Linked DNA regions of Pelodiscus sinensis. The protein of the gene in region 1 binds, or shares a complex with, the protein of each later gene. Links are inferred from orthologs where the notes say so. Each region holds a gene or a part of one and is shown on either strand. Other genes may lie near its edges.

The links. The genes of interacting proteins can lie anywhere in the genome.
Region 2: TTF2 (region 1) and PPP1R8 share a complex: the UniProt entries of both Homo sapiens proteins name them as parts of the spliceosome. The link is inferred for Pelodiscus sinensis from reciprocal best matches to the Homo sapiens genes TTF2 and PPP1R8.
Region 3: TTF2 (region 1) and AKAP17A share a complex: the UniProt entries of both Homo sapiens proteins name them as parts of the spliceosome. The link is inferred for Pelodiscus sinensis from reciprocal best matches to the Homo sapiens genes TTF2 and AKAP17A.

The regions. Positions count from the first base shown.
Region 1 is NC_134711.1:149,418,182-149,425,794, forward strand, and holds the start of TTF2 (transcription termination factor 2), read right to left. Parts: upstream 3,103-7,613; 5' UTR 3,088-3,102; coding exon 2,994-3,087; coding exon of another isoform or gene 2,975-2,993; intron 2,827-2,974; coding exon 2,715-2,826; intron 1-2,714. UniProt on the Homo sapiens protein: DsDNA-dependent ATPase which acts as a transcription termination factor by coupling ATP hydrolysis with removal of RNA polymerase II from the DNA template. May contribute to mitotic transcription repression. May also be involved in pre-mRNA splicing.
Region 2 is NC_134735.1:22,793,587-22,800,856, reverse strand, and holds the start of PPP1R8 (nuclear inhibitor of protein phosphatase 1), read right to left. Parts: upstream 3,209-7,270; 5' UTR 3,186-3,208; coding exon 3,055-3,185; intron 1-3,054. UniProt on the Homo sapiens protein: Inhibitor subunit of the major nuclear protein phosphatase-1 (PP-1). It has RNA-binding activity but does not cleave RNA and may target PP-1 to RNA-associated substrates. May also be involved in pre-mRNA splicing.
Region 3 is NC_134711.1:223,232,351-223,239,571, forward strand, and holds the start of AKAP17A (A-kinase anchor protein 17A), read right to left. Parts: upstream 3,209-7,221; 5' UTR 3,101-3,208; exon of another isoform or gene 3,040-3,100; intron 2,972-3,039; exon of another isoform or gene 2,768-2,971; intron 2,200-2,767; 5' UTR 1,720-2,199; coding exon 958-1,719; intron 1-957. UniProt on the Homo sapiens protein: Splice factor regulating alternative splice site selection for certain mRNA precursors. Mediates regulation of pre-mRNA splicing in a PKA-dependent manner.

The DNA of each region.
Region 1 (7,613 bases):
GATTTATAAGCTTCCTCAAATAAACCTGTAACTGTTTAAGTTTTAACCTGACTCCTTCAGTTGCTGTAATAGAACCAAGCACAATTTAAAAGAACTTCAGCCGGTCATAAAGGGACAGACATAGGGAGAGCTTGGGCGTTTGGATCTGTGTCACTCCCAGGTGACAAGATCCATTGGGGCACCTTTTCAGCCTTTCCTAGGCTGCCCTCTGCAAAGGAACCCCTGTGTTCTAGCAGCTAAAATCTAAGGTGTAATAAGCTCTTCCTATATAACGGGGCGTCCGTTGGCCTGCTGGCCACCCTCTGCGATGGGACCCCGGTCCTAGCAGTAAAGACACGGACGTTAAACCTTTTCTCGGAAACGTACACACACACACTGCCCTGACCGTCGGCTGACACTCTGACAAAAAACTTGAGGAGGGGAGGAGCAGCTGAGGGGGTGCGTGGCCTGGGGGATGTCAAGGGTGCTGAGGGAGACAGCTCAGAAGGCATCGCAGATGCTTGAGGAGCAGGGGCTTGGCAGGGCTGAGGTGACTCCCAGGAAGTAGCAACCTCCAGCTGTTACCTCCAGGCTTCACATGCTGCCTTCACTCTGCCATAAGCCCTGGTTCTGCAGCTCTTACTGGCTGGGAACCGCAACCATCAGGAGCTGTGAGGATGGTGCTCATGGGCAGATGCAGCAAGTAGAGTTAAGCCCAACCATGTAAACATCAACCCACACCCCAACCCTCCCCAAACGCCTCCTGTGCGGTAGATGGGTGTACCTGAGATTACCCCAACGGTGGCTGATGTGATTGATCATTGCCCAAGTAGTCCCTAAGGCAAGCACATTGGCTACTGCAAAAGTCAAGGAAAGTCACTGAATCTGTGACCTTCGTGGTATGATATTGATACTACTAGCTAATACTAAGTGACGTTATTTCGAAACAACATAATGCGCGTATACACAGCAAGTCATTATTTCAAAATAATGTCGAGCTGGAGGACTTCTTATTCTGACTCCTGTAACCCTCATTTCACGAGGAGTAAGGGAAGTCGAAGGAAGAGTGTTCTTCCTTTGACGTCCTGCTGTGAAGAAAGCACAGAAAGCCGAATTAAGCTATTTTGACTTCAGCTACGCAATTGACGTAGTTGAAGTTGGGTAACTTAATTTGACTTCTGCTCTGCTGCGTAGACATACCCAGGGTAAACTGCAGGATGATCTACAGCTACATCAACAATCCACAAATGTTTTGCAGCCCACATAAAAGTATATATGTTGTATACGGACACCGGAGTTGCAGGTATGTAGTTAATTGGAGATGCAGGCTGACATTTTACATCCTTATACATCTTTTACCATATATACGAAAATCTAATAACTGTACATCAGTTGGTGTGATGAGCTGCTGCCTATCATGATGACAAGTATTATCTCATTGTGCCCTTGTCTTTGTCCCACTTATCTATATTTCTAAGCTTAGTTTTAGACTGACATTTTTGGTACAGGGTGGGGTCCTTGTCTATAACTAGAACTTCTAGAAACTATGATAATACAAATGATAACTGGTGAAAGATTTATACCACCTGAAGATAAACTAATACAATACTGTGCAGACTCTCTAAAGCAGAGGTGGACAAACTCAGATGCAGGGGGCCGGACCCAGTCCACCAAGCATTTCTCTCTAGCCAGCCCAGCTGATTAGCAGAGATGCAGCTGTCCTTCCCCCCCCACCCATCTTGCTCCAAGAGCTGCTTCCAGGATTCTCCTGCTAACTGTGCAGAGTGTGGGGTGAAGGCGTAAGGAATGTTGAAGCCATGGTGTTCCCCTGCCCCTGTACTCCATCTCAGCAGAGCAGAGGTTGTAGACAGATGCTATGTCTAGACTACGCAGAAGATTCGAAAGCGAAAGTAGTCGGGATGCGGCTTTTTCGGCAACCCCCCCTTTTTCAAAAAGCTGCATAAACCTCATTTTTGAGGAAGAGCAGCTTTTCAAAGAGGGGGGGAGGGGCTGCTGAAAAAGCCACGTCTCGACTACTTTCACTTTCGAAAGCTCCACTTTCAAAAGTGAGATCAGAAGAAGATTTGCAAATTATCGCAGAATTTGCGTATTCTCTTTCGAATCTTCCGCGTAGCCTAGACAAACCCAGAGACACACAGGGATGTAAATTAGACACTTTGAAATTGCAAATGAAGCTGGGATTTGAATTTCCCGTGCTTCATTTGCATAATCACGTCATGGCGCTCTTTCAAAAAAGTGCTATTTTGAAATTTAAACTGCAGTCTAGATGCAGTTCTTTCAAAAACAGAAGCCTTTTCCGAAAGATCCTGTAAGCCTGAGGATCTTTACAGGATCTTTTGAAAAAGGCTTCTATTTTCGAAAGAACTGCGACTGTGGGTGCAATTTCAAAACAGCGCTTTTTCGAAAGAGCGCCATGACGCAACTGTGCAAACGGAGCACGGGAAATAAATTCAAATCCCGGCTTCATTTGCCATTTCAAAGTGTCTAATTTACATCCCTCTGTCGAAAGAGGGATGCAGTCTAGACAGACCCTTCCCGCAGAATTTGCATATCCTCTTTCCAATCTTCTGCATGGCCTAGAGGAGCCCAGAGACACACAGGCAGCAGAGTTGCTTCAATCTGAAGCCTGCCACCCAGGGAAGGGCAGAACTGGGCATGGGGGGGGGGGGGGGGCGCTAGGCGCAGATCAGGAACATCCCCACCCCTGAACCTACTGTACAGGGAGGGTGAATCCGCAGCGCGCCTGCTCCTGGACCCCGCACACGTAGAAGCTTTTCCCTTTGTTCGGCCCATCCTTAACGCCCGTCTTGAGGCAGCAGAGAGACCCTGGCGGGGAAGAGAAGCAGCCTCGTGAGACTGGTCCCAGCCTCGCCCCCCGCAGCGCGCGGCCCCCAACCCCGCCCCCCCGTCTGGGCCCCCCCCCAGGGCCCCGCGCGCAGAGAACGGGGGCGCCCCCAGACCCTCCGCCCCTCACCGTGCCCCGCGCAGCGCACCGCCTCCATGCCGCGCCCCAGAGCCCCCGCCGCCTTCCCTGCAGAGTCTCCGGGGGGGGGGGGAAGGGGGAAGGAAACAACCCACGCGTTCCATAGGCCCCGCCCCCTTCCCCGCTCTCGGAGCCAGCCAATCCCCTCTCCTGTTCCCGCCCCTCGATGACACAGTGACCAATCAGATCGGGGCGGGAGGATGCCCGGCCAATCGCAACAGGGCCTTGCTCCTGACCCGCTCCCTGTCCGCGCGCGCACTCAACGGTTGGGAGGAGGCGGCCAGGCCCAGGGGGCAGGTCACTGGGCGGGAGGCAACCAATGGGAACAAGCGAGAGGTGCGCCCGGCCCGCCCACCACCTGCGGGCTCTGCTGCCGCTGCCAGCGCCCCGCGTGCGCCCGGGGCTCCGCAGCCGCCCCCAGCTGGGGGAGGGGCGCAGACATTGTCCCAGCACTGCCTGCCCCGCCCCCCGGCTCTGAGGAGGAGGGGCTGGCCCTTGCGCCCCTAGAAAAAGTGATGCCTCTCTCCCATACTGTGCAACCCGCCTGTCTGCTGCCCAGCTCTGCAGACAGTCCTGCAACAAACGTAGCACAGCAGTAACGGTGGCAATACCGTGACCCCCCCCCCCTATAAAAACCTTACAACCAGGGCCGTCCTTAGGATTTATGGTGCCTTATGCGGGATTATTAAACTGCTGCCCCTATGCCTAGGTTTGTCAAGCAAAAAAAAAAAAAAAACCAACCAACCCACCCACCAATACATTAAAATCACATTCCTTCCCCAAGACTCCACTCTTTTGAGGCCCCATCCTCTCTGTTCCCCATCGCTCCATCACTTGCTATCCTCAGCCATTATACGCTCTCACTTGGTTGAGAAAGGAGGTGCAGGCTGTGGGGTGGGAATGAGGGATTTGGATGTGGGAAGGGGTGAGAAGTGCAAGCTCTGGGAGGAAACTTGGATGCAGGAGAAGGGGATGCTGGCTCGGGGAGGGGGCTCCAGGCTGGGGAGTGTTGGGCTCAGGTGGAAGGTTGGGGTGCTGAGCAAGCCACAGGCTTGTGGATGTGAGGGTGCAGGAGTTTGTGTTGGATGTGTGCAGGGCTCAGGGCAAGAAGGTTGTGAGTATGATGGGTCAGGATATACATTTGCCATGTGTGGATGGTGCAGGAATGTTGTGGCAGAAGACAGGATGTGGGGATGCAGGAGTTTGGGGATGTAAGAGGCTCAGGACAGAGTATGATAGGGGTTAGCACCTTCATTGATAAAGGTTCCACCACTCCAAATCTTAATTAAGTCCATAATTAATTGAATTGAATTTGCATAAGAATTGTAATTCCAAGATTTGGAGTGGTGGAACCTTTATCAATGAAGGTGCTAACTACTTTTTGAATGAAAGACAGCACTATGTAGCACTTTACATAGTTTAACTACATAGTTCTGTCTTTTGTTTCAGCTACAGCAGGCTAATAGGGCTGCATCTCTATCACTATTCTACTTTTGAATGGTATCCTTCCTGCCTTATCCATCCACTAACTTTGATCTTTATCTACTCAGGTTTAGCACCCTTTCTCCTGATACTTTATGCATAGAGGTAGCAGTGTGGGCAGCAGAACATCTTTCTCCCCCCCCCCCCCTTCCCTTCTCCTATTTATTTTGTGTTTTCTTACCCCCTAATCATAACTTCGGTCATTTGAAGAAGTGGGTTGTGCCCACGAAAGCTCATGATACCATCTACATGTAAGTTAGTCTATAAAGTGCTACCAGACCATTTGTTTCCTGTTTTTTTCTGTAAGGGTACGTCTAAACTACATGGCTCCGTCGATGTAGCCGTGTAGATTTGTTTGTTCAGCAAAGGGAAATGAAGCCGCGATTTAAATAATCGCGGCTCCATTTAAATTTAAATGGCTGTCCCGCTCTGCCGATCCGCTGTTTGTCGGCAGATCGAGGCAGTCTGGACGCTCCCCTGCTGACATGAAAGTCCTTTATCGACCTCCCGGTAAACCTCATCCTACGAGGCATAACGGGGAGGTCGATAAAGGGATTTCAGGTCGGTGCGGGAGCGTCCAGACTAGCACGCTGTGCCAACAAACAGCTGATCAGCTGTTCGTTGGTTCAGCGCGGCAGCCATTTAAATTTAAATGAAACCGCAATTATTTAAATCGCGGCTTCATTTCCCTTTGCCGATCAGCCTAATCTACATGGCTCCATCGATGGAGCCATGTAGTTTAGACACACCCTAACAGACTAACTCGGCTAACCCCTGAAGCTTTAAAAACAGTGTAACTGAAATTGGCCAAAATGTACTGTGAATTTGGTAGGGTTCTGCTCATAGATCAGGTTCTCTAAATCTTTTGTTGCTCTCCTCTGGGCTTACTCCAATTTATTCACATCTTTCCTAAAGCGTGACACCCAGAATTGGACATAGTTCCACAGCTGAGGTTTCACAATTGTCAAGTAGCCTCCCTAGAAACACTCCCAACCTGCAGACACCTGCTGGGATATTCTCCCCACCCCGCAAAAAAAAAAACCCCAATGACCTGACCCCCACCCCGAGGAATGCCTATACCAGGGCTCTGCCCCTCACCGTGCCCCTTGCACCACACCTCCTCTGTGCTGTGACAATTAACTCTTGGGATATGTCTACACTGGCATGAATTTCCGAAAATGCTTTTAACGGAAAAGTTTTCCGTTAAAAGCATTTTCGGAAAAGCGCGTCTAGATTGGCAGGATGCTTTTCCGCAAAAGCACTTTTTGCCAAAAAGCGTCCATGGCCAATCTAGACGCTTTTTTCCGCAAAAAAGCCCCAATCGCCTTTTTCACGATCGGGGCTTTTTTGCGGAAAACAGTACTATGCTGTCTACACTGGCCCTTTTGCACAAAAGTCTTTTGTCCAAACGGGAGCAGCATAGTTTTTCCAGAAAAGCACTGATGATTTTACATGAGATCGTCAGTGCTTTTCCGGAAATTCAAGCGGCCAGTGTAGACAGCTGGCAAGTTTTTCTGGAAAAGCAGATGATTTTCTGGGAAAACTTGCCAGTCTAGACACAGCCACATGGTTTGCATACAATAATCCTGTTAATATACCCCAGAATGTTGCACTTACATCGCATTGTTGATGCATATTCAGTTTACGATCTACCTAGATCCTTTTCAGCAGTACTTCTGCCTAGCTAGTTATTCCCCATTTTATAGTTGTGCATTTGATTTTTTCCTTCCAAAGTGTAGTGCACTTGTCTTTATTGAATTTTGTTTTGCAGAGGTGGATTATTAAGACGACAGGAGACTTCTCACCTGTTGGCTTAGAGCATCTCCACAAGATTGGCTGAACCACGGTAGTACATGTACATTTTGTACTGTAGATCTGCCCATCGGTTTAGTTAAAATTAGGAAACAGGAGTAATCACAAACAGAATGCTGCTGGCAATAGGATCAAGCAATGAGAGTGGATAAAATAAATGTAGTATAATTTGTGGCCATTTTAAAGTAGATTTCATACTGCTGAGGTGCCAGACTGAGAACCTTTGCACAGATAAGGTACAGTATGAACAGCAGCAGCAGGCCTTCCTGTATGTTATTCCTTACTACTGCCTCAAATGTGACCCAGGCCATGTTTTCACTGCCAAGAGATGTGTAAATAACACGTGTGAGCTATCCTGAGGTAAAAACAGTGAAAACCAGGCATTTCAGTTTTACCATGAGGTAATCTCACTGAGCTCAACCTCTAGGGTCCGCATAGGGCTGTTTATTTTATACTTTACCTCTTGACAATCCTAAATATTTTAAATCAGAAGATTGTTTGCAGTTCCTGGGAAGTAAGTGACAAGTTTTGGAACTGAAGAACAACGGAGCACATCCCGAGGAGACTGTGAGATAATACTGGCAGACTCTCCAGATCTGAATCTGATGATCTAGAGTCTAGATTCTAGACTAAAGCTTTGTCCACATTGCAAAATTTCTGGGCTCTGACCTTGCATTACAGCCGGACCTGTGACCTGGTCCACCCCACCCCACTCCAAGCAGGGTCTGCAGGCCTGCATCAAGAGGAGTTACTGGCCTCAGTGAGACTAATTTCTACATGGACTGAAGAGGGCTTCAACCTGAGTCTTAGCTGGGTTTTAGTGTACTATGTAGATGTGCCCTATGATAAGATTCCTAGAGTGTGGACCATTTAGTACCAATTGTGATGTTGGTTTATGTAATGTAGATGCAATTTCTCCACTGAGAAATGGACTTCAAGAATTCAAATTCATTGAGGTCTTGTCTACACTGACGCAAGCACTGACTTTCCAATGTGCTGTGGAGGGATGGTGCTTGATCCCCGGCTCTGCCCCAGACTCTTCCCTGACTCCATCCATTCCCCCAAGACTCCACCCCTCCCTTCCCATCCTCTCCCATTGTGCCCCCTCCCCTGGGCATGCCATACACTCACTCTTACCTCCCTGCCTGTTTCTGGCATGTCGCAAAACAGTTGATTGCAGTGTGTGGGAACGTGGGTGAGAGAGGGGATAGCACTGATCAGGAGAGGAGGGAGCTGATACGGAGGCTTCTGCACTCTCCATTTTTTCCCTGCACCTCTGGAGTCAGCACCTATGATGACATTTCCCTTAAAAATTCCCATTTTTGCATGCATTAGT
Region 2 (7,270 bases), on another chromosome or scaffold:
GACCAGGTACGCAATGGACCCAGCATCGGGGTCAGGGCTAGGGACATGGCAACATTCCTGCCCAGAAAATAAATTAGAATCCCACTGATAAAATGTGCCTCTCTTTCCCCTCTAGTGGCTGGTTCACATAACAGATAAGAGATTATTACTGTTTCCCAGTAGGGACATGAAAGTGTTTTAAGCCGGCTCCCAGCACACACTGGCTCCCAGGGAGTCACCTGCCCCTCCCATATTGCTGCCTCTGATACAGAGGCAGCAGTGAGGAGCAAGGTGGACGCAGGAGCTGGTACGCGTGGGAAACCAGCTTAAAAGCTGACCCCCCTCCACGCGTATAACCATTGAAATTTTCAGTGGTTACTTTAATTAAATACATTTTAATATCCATAGTTACCAGACAAGCAAATTGTAGAAGTCTGTGGCCTTCATGTCCCACTCCTGCTGATGACCCACATGAGGGTCAATACAATTCTACCTCACTAATTTTTTTCATTAAAAAGCTTCAGGAATTTACATTAAAACACCTACCTTAAAAGACCCAAAAGTTGCAAGTCAAGCTCTTAAAGAGTTTAAAGCACCAGAATGAAGGTTACATGCACAACTTGAATTCAACCCCTGTGCGTGTATGCATTCTAAGCCTTTAATATGATTTATCATGCTTCACTTAGCGCATATGATGGATAGTGCTCAAGAAATGCATCAGGGTGAAGTGATTGAAACTGTTCTCTGTAGGATCTCTACCTTATTTACTGCAAATGGAAAGGTGTGTAGCAAAAGAGGCGGGGAACTGCAGGCCTCATAGGTAAGAGATGAATGACACCCTGGAGAATTGGACTCTATACTTGCCTGTATCATGATGTCCCAATTGGATGCTTTTCACAAGTGGTTGCTAATTGGAGTTTTTCATTTTCTGAGTGCCTAACTGAAGACATTTGGGGTGAGATTTGCAGAAATGCTAAGCACTGTGAAAACAAATCTCAGAGGGGTAGCCTTGTTAATCTGTAACTTTACAAATGAGTAGTCCTTGGACTGCCTCTAAGGTACTACAGGACTACTACTCATTTTTCACTGTTCTCCATTTTATCAGTCAGGGGTGGGGAACCTAAGGCCCTGGGGGTCAGATGCAGCCCCCCATCCCCTAGCACTAGGGAGCCTGAGCTGGTGCTCCAACTGCCTGCTGCACCAGCATAGGGCTGGAGAACACAAAATCTACTAGCCTGGCCCTCCCCCTACACTCTGGTGGGGAGGGGAACATGGTGTCTTTCTCCTCCTGAGCTGGGGGCCATGTCAATGAGGATTTGGTTTTTTGCTTCTCACTTGTGTGCAGTACCTTATTGACTTTCTGTGGGTCAGCAGCCAACAACCCAAAAAAGGTTCCCAACCCCTGTTATAGGTAGAGAACTAACATCATCTTGCCTTAATATAGGTGAAGATCTCAGATAGTGTGATGAAGAGGACCTTAGAAAAGCTCATAAGTAAATTACTAGCTGTGTATTCAGTGCAAGGGTTTCCCTGTTGTGCAGCAAATGCAGCATTGGGTGATACAAGGGGAGAAACATAAAAAGCAATAAGCTATAAATTCGATTGACACTGTCCACTCAAAAGGGCCGTATTGCGGGAGAAATAACAATAGTAATAAGTGATAGGTGGCCGTGCCAGCACAATCTCACGCACACACACGGGCGCGCGCTCTCACGCACACTCTCACACGCACACACACGCACACTCGCGCACGCTCTCGCGCACGCTCTCACACACGCGCACGCTCTCGCACGCGCGCACGCTCTCGCACGCGCGCACGCTCTCGCACGCGCGCGCACGCTCTCGCACGCGCGCGCACGCTCTCGCACGCGCGCGCACGCTCTCACGCGCGCGCTCACGCACGCGCGCTCACGCACGCTCGCGCTCGCGCTCACGCACACGCACGCACACGCACGCTCTCACATGCACACACGCGCACGCTCTCACACGCACACGTGCACACTCACGCACGCTCTCACACACGCACACGTGCACACTCACGCACGCTCTCACACACGCACACGTGCACACTCACGCACGCTCTCACGCACGCACGTGCACATTTGCGCGCACGCTCGCGCACGCTCTCACACGCGCGCACGCTCGCGCACGCTCTCACACGCGCGCACGCTCGCGCACGCTCTCACACGCGCGCACGCTCGCGCACGCTCTCACACGCGCGCACGCTCGCGCACGCTCTCACACGCGCGCACGCTCGCGCACGCTCTCACACGCGCGCACGCTCACGCACGCTCTCACACACGCGCACACTCACGCACGCTCTCACACGCGCACGCTCTCACGCACGCTCTCACACACGCGCACGCTCTCACGCACGCTCACACACGCGCACGCTCTCACGCACGCTCACACACGCGCACGCTCTCACACGCACACACGTGCACACTCGCACGCTCATGCACGCTCTCACACGCACACACGTGCACACTCACACGCTCACGCACGCTCTCACGCGCACACGTGCACACTCACGTACGCTCTCACGCGCACACTCACGCACGCTCTCATGCGCACACTCACGCACGCTCTCATGCGCACACTCACGCACGCTCTCATGCGCACACTCACGCACGTGCACACTCACGCACACACGTGCACACTCACGCACGCTCTCACGCACACACGTGCACACTCACGCACACACGTGCACACTCACGCACGCTCTCACGCACACACGTGCACACTCACGCACGCTCTCACGCGCACACACGTGCACACTCACACGCTCACGCACGCTCTCACGCACACACGTGCACACTCACGCACGCTCTCACGCACACACGTGCACACTCACGCACGCTCTCACACGCTCTCGCACGCGGGTCCGGCTCGCAGCACAATCCCTAGTTTCCGAGCGCCTGACTCTGACACCAACTTCCGCGCGCGGGTAACTCGGAGCCCGGAGCCCCCCCCCCGTGTCACCTCAGCAGGCTCCGCGCCCCACGCCCGTGCTCGAGCCTCGGAGCCCGCGGGACGCCCCGCCCCGCCCCCGCCCCGCGGCCCGGCCGCGCTCACCAGCTCGGGCAGTCGAACAGCGACAGGCCGCCACCCGAGTTCGCGTTCGCCGCCATCTTGTAGCTACTCCATTCAAGAGGGCGCGGGGCAGGCTGGGAAACAGGAGGACCGGTCGGGGGCGATCCCGGCATGCACCGCGCGCCGCTCCCGTCACAGTGACAGTGATTGGCGGCAGGGGGCGGGGCGAGCAAACACCCGCCCTGCGTGTGGAAAGGCTGCGCCGGGGGCAGCGGCCCTGTCCCGGCTCCCGGGAGGCTCCGGGCTGGGTCCCCTCCGGAAAAGCGCCCGTGCAGACGCGGGTCTTTCAGCAAGCCAAGCACTGAGGGAGCGTCTGGAAACGGGTTTATCTTCCCACAGATCCGCGTCGAGCCGGGCGCTTTTCCCGCAAAGCTCCGCACTGGAAATAAAGCAGCAGCCATTTTTATGCAAATGAAGCGGGGGAGGGGGATTTAAATCCCCGCTTCATTTGCAATTGCGATGTGTCTAATTTGCATCCCTGTCACGGAAAAGGGGTGCAGTCTAGACACAGCCCTGGGAGCAACTCATTTCTGAGTCTTGGGACCAGCTGTGGCGGTGTTTCAAAGGGGCAGCACCAGATGGAGCCCAGGAGCAGCTGTGCGGTGCTTCCCCTTTGAAACACCACTGCAGTATTTCAAAGTGGCATTGCCACGTGGAGCCTGGGGGCAGCTGGGGACTCCTTAGCTGACCTTGCGCGAGGCGTTTCTACAGAACCCGGAGTCAGGTAGGTAGTCCCCATCTGATCCCAGGCTCCCTGCACTGCTACCACTTTGAAATGCCACACAAAGCCGGTGTCAGCTGAGTCCAGGCTTTGCACACTTTGAAATGCCGCACTCATGGGGACACTACTCAAAGCAGCAAGCTCTTTTCACACACCTACCTTACCTTTCTCACACATCTGTTTCTTTCTCTAGATTCTCTCCCTGTGGAAGACCACCCAGGGCAAATACCAGGTAGCAGGGATTTACTTAGACACCATCAAAATCAGGTTTTCATGTCAAGATGAAAACTATGGACTTGCAATCCAGCCTTCCTTAATCTTTTCTTGTACGTAACTGTTAGTACTGAGAAAAGAGTTTGCATTTAAGAAAGCGTATCTCCCCTTCTTATCCCATTGGTAAATCTCACCTAGGCTCAGAAAAGAAACTGCTAAAATCATCTGATCACTGTCTGTTTTTATAAAATAAAAATGTAGAGATCATTGATCAAAGAAACTGTTAGGGCAGCGTTTAAAGGGGAGATCTTATTTTCCACATGAAATTATCTGATTTCTAGAGCCCTGAAAATTCATGGATACCCACTTTATAATCTGAGTATCCACATCTGTGGCTCACTTGTGTATTCAGATAAAAATTTTGTATCCACAGAGGGGTCTACTGGTTTCTCTGTTTCTAGTAACTCATTTAAAAATATATGCTTTTATCCAGGTTCTGGGAAAAACCCTACTGCCTAAGGGGATGGAGGGAGGGCAGATTTCACATGGAATGGTTATAATGGTTCTGCCTGGCCCGGGAATCCATGAATCTGAGTTCAACATGCTTATAACAGCTGCAGCTCTGCATGATGAGTTGACTCTTCAAATCTCGTACTCCCCAGCTTTCATGGGTTGGTCAGGACAGAACTGCCCCTCCCCAATGCATAACCAGCCAAATGTATTCCATGGCTGCTGGTGGTATTTATAGTTTGCCACCTTCTGAAGCATCAGAGATTGGCCATTGGATGGAGTGGACCTCTGCTGTGACTGATTGGCAGATCGGGTTTTGAGAGAATTTTCCCCAGGTGTCTTGGGTTGAGACTTAAGAATAGCCTGTCTTCTGACCGTGATCAGTGCCCTAGAGGGAATGAAAATAGAATCAAATGATCCATCCTGTCACTCAACCATCTTCTGGCAAGCAGACTAGGCCACCCGTTCCCATCCTGACTATTAGCCATTGACGGACCTGCCTTCCATTAAATTTATCTAGTTCTTTGAGTCTTATAAAAAATTCCCTACCATTTAAACACTCATTAAAAATAAAATTGAAAAAGCATGGAAACAAAAACCCATTTCTTCAGCACGATTTTCCTTCTGCAGCAGGGCCTGCTGTCTTTTTAATTAATGTTGCTTAAATGCAACTTCCTTTTGCAAGAGCTCTGTATGAAAGCAGAGCACGTGTTGTGTGCATTAAGAGCCAGTGCGGGCACGTCATTTTAACTGCTCCTGGAGAGGAGAAAGCACCGTGTAGTTCTTCTGAAATGTGGAACATAAAGAAGGGTTTTTTCAGATTCTGGTCTTCCTCTTTGAACAGACCTGGGCTGTAGCCTGGTGCAGGCAAGCTGATGGCTCTAGCAGGACCAGCAGGGGTCTTTCCAAGATGGCTACCAAGATGGTGACAGAGGTTGGGCCATGCCCAGCTTGCACTGTAGAATCTGTTCTCTGCACTATTAGAAAGTTTGAAACAGGCAAAACTGGAGCCACCCATTCTCCTGGCACAGAATGGAAAGGAGGCAAAGGTCACGCTGGGGTCGGGTAGCAGGACACATCACTGCAATGGAACTGCAGCTAAACTTGCCCTAACTGGAACACGAGAAGGAGCTGCCTAGTCGCTCGGGTGGGCGGTGGACTTCGGCCCCTTCCAGAGCAGGCCTCTTTCCATTGGCCAGGGGGGCCTGGAAGTAAATAGGGTGGAATGGTGCAGAGAAGGGTGAGACCATCAGTGCTAGGAGAGAGATATTGGGTAACATCTGAGCTCCGTCCCATCAGCCTTCCAACTGCCCCTGCTCCATGTGTTAGAACTGTGGGCAGGAGGGTGGGCTAGGACTCTCAGGTGTGCCCACTGGAGACACCCACAGGGCAACAGGCTGGTGAGAACTGCTTGGCCAAAGAGCAAAACCAGGGAATTCAAACCCAGAGGTGGAAAGCTGTCAAGCACCAGAAACTGGGCACAGCATCTGCAGGAGGAAGCTTGGTCACAGATCATTTAGCAGCAAAGGCCACAGCTTTCTAGTCTATTCTCAAGCTGCAACAACCATGGCACATCCCCCACACAGGGCACACAGGAGTCACTTTGAAACACAGGCAGCACAACACTGCAGGCACTTTCCAGTCAAAACAGCAGACGCCACACTGTCCATGGAGGAGGCAAAGGTGTGGCTCTTAGGAGCTATGCCCGCCGGTGCCAGGAGCAGCATGCACTGACATGGAGGTCTCTTGCCCCTTAAAGCAGACAGGGTGGGATGAACTCCCCAAACAGTCATTACAGGACTGTGATGGTAGGCAGGTCTTTCAATGCACATGATACAATCAAAGGCCTGGAAGATACCCGGAGAGGACATCTGGTCCACTCCCCTTACCCAGAGCAGGACTTCCCAACCATGTTCAGTAAGGGACCAAATTCAGTGTACTTTTAACTAAAGTGTAATTAGAGTTTCAGGATGCAGATCACATGCGCAGGTGAGTTCCTGCTCACTTTGCACACATGGAAGTTCTTGCACTACAGAAATGAACACTGGAAATGCCACAAGCAAGAATGGTTAGAATGAAAACAGCCTTCTAGCCTATCTAGGCAAGTCAGCTCCAGGAAATATATTTTGCAGCTTTAGTGACTTCATTTTCTCTAGCACAAGGAGTTTGCCTACACTTCAAACGGTAGGAGAAAGACACTGATCAAACACTTTTAAAAATGTTTATTGACAGTTATTGGATGGAATGATGGTGCAATAGTGCAAAAAAATTGTGCAATTATGAAAACACATTCCCTCCGCAGTTTTCACATTTAGTTTAGTATTTTAACTAAGACAAACATGGAATAAAGGTTAAATACAAAATGAGTCTGTATGCTGCAGTTAGCTGCCCATGATGCACTTTTAGCTAAAGTCTTATTTTCCCATCAGCGCATTTCAGCTCAATCACAATGAAGAATGGGGGTGGCAGGTAGGTGCTATCTACTCCTATTACAATCCAAGAAGTAGAACCAGAGATCTCTTCCATTGTTAAGCAATAACCTCTGCCATTCTAACACTGCCAATCATGTACTAAGCCAAATTCCTTATTACTTATGGACATTTCATAATCTCTTCATAACTGGTATTACTGTAGTTCACAAAATACACTCTACCTATTTTAGCAGAAGTTCCACATTTTTAACTAGTAGTAGAGCTTCAAGAGTCATTTCTAAACAATTCAGTCTGGCTAATGCAAACCAGCAAGAAAGTTCAG
Region 3 (7,221 bases), about 74 Mb from region 1:
AGCCATTGCTTCTTGTCCTATCATCAGAGGGCAAGGAGAACACTTTTTCTCCCTCCTCTTTGTAACACCCCATAGGAACATATGCACAGAGGACTACTAAGATTATACGAATGGAAAAACCCACCGCATGAGTGGAGACTCAAAAAGTTTAGTTAGTTTGGCCTGACCTAATGAATTTGTAGAAAGCATATGATTGCTTTCTACAAATATATCAGAGGAATACCATTTATATATACTCATTAGCCCACTCGTTTATAAGACGATTCCTCCCCCAAGATGAATAGATAAAAATGGAAAACTGCCATGATCCATTCATAAGACAATCCTATATTTCAGTGGCTGGCACCCTACAGCTCCCAATGTCTGCAATTTGCCATTCCTGGCCAACAAGAGAGGTGGGAAGTAGTGGCCAGTACACCCCTCAGCCCACAATGCTTTCTACAGTTCCCATTTGAGGGGAATGATGAAATGCAGCCATTGGGAGCTGAGGGACTTCAGGCCTGAGGACACTCCAGATGCACCAGGAAATTGTGTTTACCAGCAGCCTTCCTTGATGGGTTAGATAATGAAGTTTGCCATCCTCTAATCAAGAATGTGGAAGATCTAGAGGAGATGGGTTAACATTTACAAAACACAACTTTTAAGAATTTAAATGTGGCATTTAGAACACAGACTTGGTTCACATATTTAGCTCCCACACTGTATTATTCCTAGCCTAAGGGCTACGTCAATATTAAAATTTTATTTTGTGCATATTACCACTCCTTCACTATCACACCTTATATCTGAAATTTCACTATGGATATTGCAAGAGACTATTTTTGTGCTGTCACTTCATCAATCTGACCTGATATCCATATAAAATGAGGGTCTAGATGTTAACATATATGGAAAGGACCTTCAACAGTAGTTTTTCCCCTTTAAGATCTATTACAAAATAATTCCACAGTTCCTCACCTTTATATTGCAAGCCACTGCTTTTCCATCATCACCTTTGTACATCAGTTTCATCCCTCGCAGAGCATTCATGGCCTTGATGAAACCTACATACTCGTGATACTGAACATAAGCTTCAAAATTCAAATGTCCTCCAAAACTGAAAGTATGAAAATTTCTTCCAGTCATTTCTTCTCTATATGGATCCAACATGGGTATGTCCACATTACGTATTTCCCCAAATTTATTAAATACTTTTATAAGGACTTCTTCACTTGGTTTTTCTGAGCCAGAGTCCTTCAGTGCAAACCATTTGCAAGGTAACCCCTCTAAGTGAATGGTGTCTGGTCTCTCGCCTGGCAAAGTTTCATTCATATCTTTTGCATCACGGAAGAAAGAGTCCCAGTCATGTCTAGTAGGAAAGTCAATTTTATATTCTGCAGCACGAACTTTTAAAATGTCAGAGAAGCCACTAAGTTTTATTGTTTTGCCATCAAGGCATGCAAGAAAGGACTTAACCAAACTTTTGTTTTCAACCTCTCCTTCAAAACGAATAAAGTCCATGGTACTTTTGGAAATCCGTAGTGTGGAAAACTGATGCGTTTGCACCATTCCTTTTAGTCTTTCCATCACTTCCCAGTTAGAAATGGATTTTCCTGGTTGCTTCAGCTGAGGAAGGGCCACACTAATAGTCATTTTTGTAATGGGTTTAAGATATAAACCATATGTAGAACAGAGCTCTACTGCTTCGGATGTATCATGAACTATGGTAGCAGCAGCCATAGCACAAAAAAAAAAAAAAGTATAAAAACAGTAAGGAAAATGTATACTAAGTGAACTTATAGGCCACACTAATTGAGGAACATAGTCCCTATCTGTAAATAACTGACCATTTCTGAGACTTAAATATTACCAAGTAAAGCCACTGATTCTTGGCATGAAAGTTAATTAGGAAATTTAACAGCATTGCCATTATAAACTGTTTTCTAAACATCACAATATAGGAATTCAGTTCCAAGACTTAAATATTAGCCACAAGAATAAAGCCCACAGAGAAATTGAAAAGCTGATGATATGAATAATAAATATGGCTTGATATTCAATGACTCAACCGTTAGTTATGCTTCAGGAGGAAGCATTGTGAAACTCATGTTATCACCTAGTACTAGCATGAGCAGAATAATTGAAGTATTAACCAGAAACAGTTATACTGCAACAGTCCAATCTTGAAGAACTCCATATTCTCAAATAGATGACTTTATTCTGGAAAGAAAGAAAAACAAATTTCCATTTAAAGGGAAAAATTAGCCTTATAACTCTTGCTCAGACCTAAATATATTATACATGATGCAACTTGAAGACAGCGAGAGCCCTTTCCTAGAATGGGAAACAGCAACACCAAATAGTATTTGATTTACTCAAAACACATTTGTGAATGTTATCTATAGATGTGCTCTACTTGTAAGATAATTTCACAAATAGATAGATTTGCCAGTGATTCACAAATACAACTCTTATCAGTCATAAAATAAACTGAGAAAATGAGAAATCAATAAATGACCAACAAATTCACCTTCCACATACATTCCCCATAAGAAAGTATTTCCATCTATAAAAAGTGAAATTTGCAGTCAGGCAAAAGAAGAAAAACCGTACGCGTGTTTTACAGCTACTTATTGTGTATATTTAGACACAGGATGTTGGTAATTTGCCTTTTAACCAATACAGAAGCTTTAACTTTTTTTTTCCTACGTCCAGTACATAAACATTGTCTGATCCGGCCCCCTCCCCCATCACCCCCGAATTCTGCACAACAGGGCCAGAAACACACGTTTTAAAAGCTCTAGAAGAACCTTGAGCGGCGTCCTTCCCAGGCGGCACCTGGCGCTTCCTTCCCACCTGATTCCGCTGCCCCCTCCCCCGCCACCCACACCCCGGCCCGGGCAGCTCGGATAGAGCCGAGGGGGGTGAGGAGGGCTGCGAATGTTTACGGGGACAAAGGTCACGGCTACCCCCGGGGAGGGCTCTGCGGCCCCCGCCCCCACCTTCAACAGAGACGGGCCTACTGGAAACCATGGGGGGGGAGGGGCTGGTCTGACTCACCCCGCGACGGTCTGCGACCCCTTCCCCCTCCAGGCCGCCGCCGCTGCCGAATGCGACTGACCCAAAAGAAAACAGAGGAGCGGGCCTCCGCGCCGGCGTCCCACAACCCCCTGCGGGCGAACTTCCGCTTCCGGGTTGGCTCAAGCGGAGGGAAGGTGAGAAACAACGATCCCGGAGCGATGTGGAAGTGGCCAGGCTGGATCGGTCCTCCTACTCTATGGTGCCAGGAAAAAAAAAAAAAGGCAGCCCGGCGCGGAATGCGGGCGCGCGCCCCCTGCGGGTGCGGCTTGGTGTCGCCAGGGCCAGAGGAGCCTCCATGGCCCGGGGGCGGAGCCCGATCCCTGGGGAGGGGGCAGGCGCGCGAGCCTGAGCCTCTCCCCTCCCCCAGCAAGCCCTATTGCAGCGTCCCAGCCAGTGCTCTGGAGGCCCAGAGCAGGGCTCTAGGTCGAGCTGCTTCCCTCAACTAATGTGATGGTGCAATTGCGCTGGCACTTTCACAGAATCACAGAATACTAGGACTGGAAGGGACCTCGAGAGGTCATCGAGTCCAGTCCCCTGCCCCCATGGCAGGACCCAGTACTGTCTAGACCATCCCTGATAGACATTTATCTAACCTACTCTTAAATATCTCCAGAGACGGGGATTCCACAACCTCCCTGGGCAATTTATTCCAGTGTTTAACCACCTTGACATTAACTTTTTCCTAATGTCCGTCCTAAACCTCCCTTGCTGCAGTTTAAACCCCGTTACATAAAACCTTTCCATGTAAAAAAAATGGTGTGGAGAAAAGCTTGAAAAGGCGAGACAAACGCAGTATGTGAGAAACCAAGAAAAAGATCCCACATTTTACTTGTTTTTAAAAAAATCTTGCGATGTTTTTAATACCTGGCTTTGGCAATACTGAGGTTCAGTTGTTGTGGAGGGGACCTTTTTATGGAGAATGGAGAGGCTGAGAAAATTAGTACATTTATTCTAAATAGGGTCGCCAGATGGTTGAAACAAAAATACTGAACACCCTCCCCCCCCCCCCAAAAAAAACAGAGAAAAAATTCTGTTGAAGGAAAAAAAGGGGTGGGGGGGAGACCAAAGTTCTTGAACAAACAAAAAAAAGACTCCGAGACCATTTTGTGCTGGGAGCCTTGCAGAACCAGGTAAACATGGGGGCTGGGATCAGGCGGCTGGGGGTGTTGGGAGCCAGGAGGGCAATCGAGCAGGGGGAAAGCAAATTGCTTCTCAGTTTAAATCTCTGGGGGTATGTCTGCACTACAGCGCTAATTCGAACTAACTTAGTTCGAAATAGTTAATTCGAATTAGTTAATTCGAACTAAGCTAATTCAAATTAGCGCAGCTAGACTTAAAAACTAGTTCGAATTAGCGTTTTGCTAATTCGAACTAGCATGTCCACACAGAGTGTCCACACGTCCGTTAGTTCGAATTAACTTTGTTGTGTAGACATACCCTGTGTTAATCATAGGATCACCGCTAGGGTTACCAGGTAGTCATAAAAAAAAAATACCGAGAAAGGACCGGCCGGGAGGGGAGCAGTGATGGCCGGGAAGAGAGTGGGGGGGGCCGGGAAACAGAGCTAACTGGGGGGGGGCAGCAGAGCTGGCTAGGGAAGATTGGGGGGCCGACGGAAAGCAGGGCTGGTCAGTGGGGGGGGTCGGGCGGAACAGGGCTGGCTGTGGGATATTTGGGGGGGTGGCCAGCGAGGGCAGAACTGACCGGGGGAGCTCAGGAGGAGGGGAGAACTGGCCGCCAGAAGCAGGGCTCTCAGGGAGTGCAGCGGGGCTGGCCGGGGAAAATCCAGAGCAGGAACTGGCCAGCGAGACTCAGAGCTGGCGGAGGGGGCAGGGGAGCAAATCAGCCAGCGTGGAGCAGGACTGACCCGGGCTGTGCAGATCCTAGAGCGCTCCCGTCACACACGAGTCAGTCCGGCTGCGGCTCCACCACACGCTTGACCAGCGCGCAGGAGCATGGACCGGGCTGCCCCTCCTCCTCACATGCAACCAGAGGCTCCCAGTGCCGATCATGCCCCGCCTCCCAGTCACTCCTGCCCCCGCCAGGCTTCTGTCCAGCGTCCAGCCAGAAAACCAGGAAATACCGGACATTGCACATATCCAGTGTTTTCTGGATTTTTTTTACCGGACAGAGGGCCAAAAACCAGACTGTCGGGTAGAAAACCGGACACCTGGCAACCCTAATTCTAAATCATTTACTAGTAATGCTTAATGTGGTAATGCTCACAGGACCCAATAAGGATTAGCACTCCAATGTGCTGAATGCTGTACAAACACGGGAAAAAAATCCTTGCTTTGATGGGCTTAATATCAGTACTACCCATTACATATACTATGTAAATAACTTGAGAGATCACCATGTTTCTAAAATAATCTGACTTTATTACAAGAACTATTTACAGCGGTGCTACAATAGTAGCTAACATTCCAGGCACATGCACACAGACTGGCTTACTGGTGACTCTTTCAAACTCTTCTGTCCTGTATCTGTGGAGTTCTGTGCAGTATGCAATACCAACTCTCACTATTTTATGGCTACTCTTTCCACATATTTAGTGTTCTTCTTAAAGCTGCAGCTCTGGATACAAGTGATGGTGTGAGAATCTCACTTCTCATGTAAACAAAACAAAACAACAAAATAAGTAGTTGCCCTCTGTTGTGGCTTGACTCTTTATAGAACAGTCATCAATATGAAGAAACCACGTGGGTATATTTAGGTCTGGGTGTTTGCTAATTACCATGAATTAGCAAATATAACCCATGGGTTATATATGTTTTTACAAACCATGCGTCCCCTCCCTCCATGGGGTATACATGTCTGCGTCTTATATAAATTGATTTATACTCCAGGAGCATCAGTTCCCCTAAGCGTCTCTGCTCGCCCGCCATGAGAACAGGATTAGCTCTGCTGCAGAGAGGGCCTGACGAGCTTCCAGCGTGTCCGCGCACGCTCTCCATTCTCCCCGCCCGGAGGAGGGTGGGTGACGCCTGGCTGCACGGGGTGGGCCTGGGCATGAGTGTGTCTCCCTCTCGCAGTCCGTCTGGCTCACTGACAGCAGGATGGCTGTCGCCTTGTGTCTGCTGTCTATGCACTGCTGCCCAGGGCTGCTGTAGAAGTCCCTGTGGGTTATAAACATACGCGGGTAATCTGCAAATTTGACAAATGTAATATACGCCATCATGTGCCAGCAATGCCCCTTTGCTATATACATTGGCCAAATTGGACAGTCCCTACGCAAAAGAATAAATGGACAGAAATCAGATATTAGGAATTACAATATACAAAAAACCTGTAGGAGAACACTTCAATCTCCCTGGACTCACAATAGCAGATTTAAAGGTAGCCATCCTGCAGAAAAAAAACTTCAGGACCAGTCTTCAGAGAGAAACTGCTGAGCTGCAGTTCATTTGCAAATTTGACACCATCAGCTCAGGATTAAACAAAGCCTGTGAATGGCTAGCGAATTACAAAAGCAGTTTCTCCTTTCTTGGTGTTCACACCTCCATATCGGCTACTAGAAGTGGGCCTCATCCTCCCTGATTGAATTTACCTCGTTATCTCTAGCCTGATTCTTACCTGCATATTTATACCTGCCTCTGGAAATTTCCACTACATGTATCTGAGAAGTGGGTCTTTGCCCACGAAAGCTTATGCTGCAATACATCTGTTAGACTATAAGGTGCTACAGGACTCCTTGTCACTTTTGCAGATCCAGACTAACACGGCTACCCCTCTGATACTTAAAGTGATATATCACTTAATTACCATATATATAAGCTTTCATGTTTGCAGAGAAAAGTCTGTGAATGTGAACTGATTATACCCTAAAAGGCTCAAAAACCAGAAATCAAAAGATTTTTTAAAACATTTTGTTTATTTACAAGTTATTTTAACCCCAATCCTGTAGTTTTAGGGGTCAGACTCTTGATTTCTGAAAACTTACCATAACCGATACTGCAATCTAAAATCACAAATGTGAAGGAAGTAGTGAAAGGGAATATCACTTCACACACATTGGCTGTGTCTACACTGGGCCACTTATTCCAGGAAAGCAGCCGCTTTTCTGGAATAAGCTGCGAGCTCTCTACACTGGCCGCTTGCTTTTCCGGAAAAGCAATGACGATCTACTGTAAAATTGTCAGTGTTTTTCCGGAAAAACTA